Linked DNA regions of Bombyx mori. The protein of the gene in region 1 interacts with the protein of each later gene in a pairwise test. Links are inferred from orthologs where the notes say so. Each region holds a gene or a part of one and is shown in the gene's direction. Other genes may lie near its edges.

Region 1 (3,664 bases):
ATAATAAAATGTGTTATCTATCATTATCTTGGGGCATGACTACAAGACCTCGTTTATATTGGCCAACAGATGTCTGGAAATGAAGAAATTAAATTCTCGCACGCGCGATGAATCAACGGCATACGTTCGAAAAGTTTGAATCGAAACGGTAAGTAAGTGAACATGCAGTAAAGTGAAACGTTTGCAGGCTCGCGAGCCGTTACCGGGTGCGATACGCATGCGGTCCCGCTCGACGTCGGGCGGTAGCGGCGGCGTGCAGTCAGAGGGGGGCGGGCCCCCGCCGCGCCGCGCGCACCCACCGCCGCTCAGCACCGCCGCCTCCGAGCCCACGCTGCCCCACGCTAGCGTTATGCTCGCGCACCTCCTCTCCGCCCGACACTGTCAGTCGTTTTGCTATTTCTGCATTCTACTGTGCGTTTCAAATTATAGCGGGATTGTCAGTCCAACCTTCCATTACTGTGTACATTGCGCGTTCCATTACTGTGTACATTGCGCGTTCCATTACTGTGTACATTGCGCCTTCCATTACTGTGTACATTGCGCCTTCTATTAATGTGTACATTGCGCCTTCCCTCGCCGAACCAGTCGCTTGCGACGAAGGGCTCGACGAGTAAATTAACCCATAGATACGGCCCACTGAGTTTCTCGCCGGATCTTCTCAGGGGTTTGGTTTCCGATCCGGTGGTAAATTCTGCGAAGCACTACTCTTGCTATGGCCAGTGTTAGCAACACTCCCGGTTAGAGCTCCGATAGCTCACCTACTCGCCCGGTTATGCTGACCTAGCCTCAAGGCTACCAGCTTAGGTAGGGAAAAAAAGCGGGCCAGTAAAGTCAGTTTTGGGTCTAATTTTACACCGACTGTTCGATTCATGTTAACAAACTTTGATTGAAATGTAACTGGCAGTCTCGATCGTCCTTAAAAATTATATAACAATCGGAATATTTCGATATTTTTCTAAAATCCTAAGTTCACTACCCAGAATACTTTCGTAAACAAAAAACAAGTTTACTTCTATCATTACATCACTCGTTATTCTTCAGTACGCACGTAGAACTATGGAAGCTGGTCAATGTAGCTTTATGACAATCTTCGTCGTGTTTGAAACACATGGTGTCCACGTCTGTTACATAATTTAAAACTAATTCATGTATGTTTTGTTTCATGTACTAGATTACTTTATTCATTCGGCCTACCGTTTTATTTCAGCTCAAAGTTTATACAAACTTAATAGTAATGAAGATGTTGCCGGGAGCTCCGATCCCACCAAGTCCCCGATTAGAAGGGGACAACCGTCTCCGATCGGTAGTGACGTCATGTCGCCCCTTCCAGTAAGTCACATTGAAATTTGTTTGGGGATCTAAGTAAAATGGTTGACTCGCAATGAATAATTACGGCTTATGTGAAGATAACATAAACGCGCGCCCGACTTGTCGAAGAAAGATAAATATAGACTAAAGGTTAAGCAGTAGAATAAATAATCTTAGGATAATAAAATGACCGTTGCACTGGAGTTATAAATAGTTATTGTTTTTAATTATTATTTCATAAAAATAATACTTTACATGCTTAAGCCGCATGATCATTGGTTAATTAATGCCACTCAATCATGCTAACTAAAATTACAGCCGGCAATAGAAAACTAAGCTGAAATATTTTCTTGATCATTAATTACTTACTGGTGGTAGGACCTCTTGTGAGCCCGCGCGGGTAGGTACCACCACCCTGCCTATTTATGCCGTGAAGCAGTAATGCGTTTCGGTTTGAAGGGCGGGGCAGCCGCTGTAACTTTACTTGAGACTTTAGAACTTATATCTCAAGGTGGGTGGCGCATTTACGTTGTAGATGTCTTTGGGATCCAGTAACCACTTAATACCAGGTGGGCTGTGAGCTCGTCCACCCAACTAAGCAAAAAAATAAATAAAAAAAATTCTAATTCTAATCACAAAATTCGTTTTCGCCTTTGCATGCGTTCCCTAATTTTTGAGACTTAAAGATTTATTGAATTAATGAACACTTGTGTCGACATATTTTTCGGTTTTTTTTTTTCCTGTACTTAGGTTCATTATCTTTATATTCATAACTACTTATTATCTAAGTGAAAACGATAAAAAAAAACTTTAAGGCATAACACGTATTTATTATCTATACAATTTATTTGGATGAATACTCTGTGGTTTACTCTTTAGCTGCAAATTAATCAAATCTTCACGGTGTAAACCACTTTATTTATTACTAGCTTTTGCCCGCGACTCCGTCCGCGTGGAATAGTTACTTTGGCATAACGCCAAATTTTACCCCCCACTTCATTTACGTAGAAAGTGAAAATATTTGGAAACATTCTTTATTGGTGCTCCACTTGTGTTGGTCTTACCGTAATGTTATATACCCTATAGCCTTCCTCGATAAATGGGCTGTTTAAAACTGAAAGAATTTTTCAAATCGGACCAGCAGTTCCTGAGATTAGCGCGTTCAAAAAAACAAACTCTTCAGCTTTATAATATTAGTATAGATATGCATGCATGATCTGCGTTAGGCATGCGAGAGAGGTTAGACATGTTACATGGTATAACCTCTTACACCGGTCACTCACATGCGCACGAATACGCAAACCCGCAAGTGTAGGACGACATTTGCAAATGATTATGCAAAGTTTTCGCTACATTCGTGGTTTTCCAAGCTGTGTCGGTTTTTTAACAGACATCAAAGCGCGCGAACCGTGAACCTTCGCGTAGTCTCCCACACATTCGTTTGCCCAGTTGCGCCGACGATTGCGAATTTAATGTACGTATCGCCATTTTCATAGTTCGTGACGTCTACCGTGTGGCGTATCTTCATCAAAAGAAATCCCATAACAACGTTAATGATGTCTGGGAAAGAATTCAAAACTCTTTTTCTCTTCAATGTTCTATTGACGAATTAAAAAGGAGAAGAAATTCGTGAGACATTCGTAAACAAGTGTAAGAGGAAGCGCAAACGGGTTCGCAAATTGAGTATGCGAACCCATTTGCACAGCCGCTAGGTTTGCGAATGAATGTTTGACGGCTCTTCATGTACACGTACAATGTACGAATGTTTGCGCGCATGTCAGTGGCCGGCATTAGGCTACCCGCCAATAGGTAGGGGGGAAAGACGTTGTTTTTGTTGTAATTTTCATTTTTCATTGTATCAGTATATTGTTGTATCGTGTATGAAACTAACGACTATGTTTGCATGTTTTGTACAATGGTCAACTAATCACGCCCTCAATATTGTGATATTCTGGTCCAATATATTATATTTATGTTTACGGCATTTGCGACACAGGATCATCATCAACAATCATAGTTTGTGAATGTTAAATGTGCAACGTTGTACATTTTTTAAATCCGTTTACATAAAAAGCGTAGGCAGCGGCTTGGCTCTGCCCCTGGCATTGCTGAAGTCCATGGGCGACGGTAACCACTCACCATCAGGTGGGCCGTATGCTCGTCTGCCTACAAGGGCAATAAAAAAAAATTTTTGAAAAAAAAGTGGAAATTTAGACCTTCGATTGCATTAAGCTGTATTAAAAATAATCTTGCAAGTAGTTACTACGCGTGTGTTGGCCTCGTTTTTTATTTATTAATTTATTAAAAAATCACTGATAACGTTTATTGGATTTGGTATCGTTTATGTTACAATACA
Region 2 (3,724 bases), on another chromosome or scaffold:
TCATTTTAGCTCAACTTGCTTAATTCCAATTCATTACATATTCGCATTAATCAATTTTAGAAGATTAGCAAATTTTCTAATATTTAACAGCCGAAAAGTGAATTCATATATAAATAAATGTAGATTCCTTTAAAATGCAACAATTTGCAACATTTTAAAAATACAACACCACGGCTTTCATACATAATATGGTGAATATTACTAATTTTTTTCTTTATACTATACTTATTTTACTCTTGTACGTTATTTGATAAACATTCGGCTCATCTGATGCTATGTTGTTATCGCAGCGGAACTCATTCTTTGATATTATTATGTGAATAAACAGCTTTGACATATGAAGGACAAATCCTGGGCCTCCTATCCTGTTTGAAACAAGAATTAGTGCCCATCATTCAACACGCACGCTAAGCACGCCAGTAACTTCGATTGGAGTTAGATTCTACTAATTCAATAAAAAAGATGTAAGACGAAATTTAACTCGTAAGAACTCTGTATGTTGTGACTGTCGTCAGTATGTGTTTATTTAATAAACTGATATCACATGTTAATTTTTGAGAAACACTGCCTAGAACTTTTGGCTTTTTAAGCCCTTTCTAGGACACCCTTTATAATATATAATAATAAATAAATAAATATAACTAGCACTACTACAACATTAATTTATGCATAATTTTGAAGATTTTATAAGCTTGATTAAATTAAAATTACTCATATGTGTATTTTCTGTTGCTTGCAGAACTGGCATCATGAGCAGTCGATTGCCATATTGAAAAAAGAAAATGTTGACGTTGACAGTCATCTGTGCTGTGACATAAATATTTTAAACGTTGACTTTTTGGCGGGAATGCGAGGAGTGAAGTTGTGTGATTTGATTCATTTTGTCTATTTAGTGTTTCTTAAGATTTAAATGTGTAATAACGGTGGTTTATTAACTGTTCAATATCTATGAAAGTGCACAAATGTGGGAAAACGAAACAAAGCCGCCGGACGCAACTTCTCGAGATCCTCCAAAATGTCCACTGAAAAAATCTCAGTAAATGACCACCATTTTACTGAGATTATATTTCAACCCATATCATCTTATTTTATTTCATTTCATCCCAGTTGATTAACGTCTCAAATTAATCATCTTAATTTCATTTCACTCCATATTATCATTTTTCATAAAAATAAGAATATAAAGTAAAGTAAGACATGACCTAAAGGTCTTAGTTACCAGGTCATAAAATCCCTTAAAAAAATAATTTTAAACGTAATTCTCGTACCTACCTATGTAGGTACTTATGTACGTAATTGTACCAAAAGTCGGAAATAATACTGTATTTTAGTTATCAGTAATTTGAAATTTGATTTTAGTATTACGTTACGTAAATGTTACGTAACCACATGGTTCAAAAGTGATTTAATTCGGGTCATGAAGTACTTGTCCAAGACTATCTTATATTTATAATGTTATCAATGTATTCTTCATACCCTACATAGAAATAATGGAACAAGGCACCATGAACTCCGAAAAGTGAAAGATCGCATTAATGTAATGTTTTATTTTATTAAAGTTTCATTATAACAATTAATATCCCAATATGTATCCTCGTTGTGGCAGTAGCGGATCTATTCAAAACATACATCAAACGCCGTCCTCCTCAAATCAAAACACAGGTAATGACTTTTTCTAAAACTTGTTTTACATATTTTTGTTTAAGCGACATATTTGTATTTTCGTTTCGCACTCATTGATAACAAATGGATGAAATATATTTGTACCTACTGTGAATGTTATTATTTTGTATAGAGGATGAAGATGACAGTGGTGACAACAAGGCATCTGCACTCAGTTTCAAAGAGAGAAGAAGGGAAGCTCACACACAGGTTAGTAATATCACCTAATCACTGCTATTAAGAGATGATTTAACAAAAATTAAATGGACTACTGAATTTATAATACAGATTATTAATCTTTTACTAAATGGAAATGATAGTTTTTGTAGCAATGCACACTTGTTGAATGTGAAAGTAAACACTATCACTAAACAAAAAAAAAGAATTGGCTTAATATACTCAGTAGACTTTCCTATATATTTTCTTTGGGCTATTTTCATATTCTCTCTATGTTAATACATAATTGTTATTAACTATTAGGTATCAGGAGTACTTCTTCCTGTGGGTGCATTTTGGGCACTCAAAGAACAAGAACTGATAGTTTTATTTTAATTTAAAATACTGGTTTTATAATAGTCTTTATCTAACTTTTACATTTTTCAGGCAGAGCAGAAAAGAAGAGATGCAATTAAGAAAGGCTATGATTCACTCCAAGACCTTGTGCCTACTTGTCAGCAGAGTGATGCGTCTGGCTACAAACCAAGCAAAGCTGCAGTATGTTAAGTTTCTTATCAAATTAATTGTTAAATGTGTAAATAAGAGGTTATCAATTTTATGAAATTTGAACAACCTTGTAGACTTTATCATTCAGATATGTTAGGGCTGTGTTATCACAAATAATGATATTTATTATAGTTGAGGACTGCTGCGCAAATATTTATTATTATATAATGTGATCATAGCTATCCCAGATTATCTTAAAAAATAATTAGAAACTTCTATCTCACAATGGGTGGCAGCATTCTAACTTCATTAATAATTGTGTCTTAACCTTAAACGTAGCTTAAAGGTTATAATTGAAGTAAATTTTTAGAAAGGATAATATTGGTATACAAGCTTTTTAACCTGTTATTCAAACTCTGGCTGTGTGGTATTTGCCTATTTGTTGTATATTTTCTCCGAGTATCTATTAAACCAGCGTAGTACGAACACCTACTCTCATTAACTGCCGTTCCTGCCGTTTTTCCATAACAGAGCAGTCTAGTTTGAAAGGTAGAAAAGCTGTTATACTAAGCAATTGAGACTTAAACCTTATGACTCAAGCTCCAGATTCTTCATAACACCATATGGTCCATAATATCAATTAATCAATAAACCTTAAAAGTGCTTGTTCACTTTAATTTGTTCTGTTTTTAGTTATTTTATTTATTTTGGGCTGGATTATCAATTGAGACTGATTTTTACCTAAATGCTTGTACAAAAACTGCTGTAATCACTTAAATTAATAAACAGACAAAGTAAATAAAATAGATAGCTTGTTAAATGTAAACATATTACAGTTAAACAGTTTTTGAACTATTAACTAACTATAAAAAAAAAAAAAAGCCTGCATGCACCATTGATGTATTACTCAGTGAAATTGGGCAACACCATTGTAACTGTGTGTGTAAAAAATCATCCTTCCTCAATCAGATAAACCAAATTATAAAATATCAGCATTGTTCAAGTAACATACAAACCATATTTTTTTAATATTTGCTTCTTTTGATTATTACATGTAACTATTACTATCCTGTCTATAATTTTAAACTCTGGAAAAAAAAAAGCTTACACTTCTTAATAAGTTAACCTAACTTGCAGGTCCTTCAGAAATCAATTGACTACATCCAGTATTTGTTACAACAGCGTCGTAGACAGGAAGAAGAGCGCAATGCATTGCGTAAAGATGTTGTCGCTCTTCGTATAATGCAAGCAAATTATGAACAAATTGTTAAAGCTCAACATTCCGTACCTGGTCTGAATGAGCAAAGGCTGACGGACCAAGACAAATTTCAAGTGGTATGTATGTATATAACTTTTTTAAGAAAACCCGTGAGACTATAAGTCATTTAATTTTATTGAG

The links.
Region 2: the proteins of carbohydrate-responsive element-binding protein (region 1) and max-like protein X interact in binary tests that used the Caenorhabditis elegans proteins (3 or more experiments, as listed by UniProt). The link is inferred for Bombyx mori from reciprocal best matches to the Caenorhabditis elegans genes mml-1 and mxl-2.

What each region holds. Positions count from the first base shown.
Region 1 is NC_085116.1:9,455,030-9,458,693, reverse strand, and holds part of carbohydrate-responsive element-binding protein, read left to right. Parts: intron 1-187; coding exon 188-380; intron 381-1,207; coding exon 1,208-1,329; intron 1,330-3,664. UniProt on the Caenorhabditis elegans protein: Transcription factor that binds to the E box motif 5'-CACGTG-3', probably in a heterodimeric complex with mxl-2.
Region 2 is NC_085115.1:6,335,935-6,339,658, reverse strand, and holds the start of max-like protein X, read left to right. Parts: upstream 1-837; 5' UTR 838-1,586; coding exon 1,587-1,662; intron 1,663-1,795; coding exon 1,796-1,872; intron 1,873-2,265; coding exon 2,266-2,376; intron 2,377-3,462; coding exon 3,463-3,660; intron 3,661-3,724. UniProt on the Caenorhabditis elegans protein: Transcription factor. Binds to the E box motif 5'-CACGTG-3', probably in a heterodimeric complex with mml-1.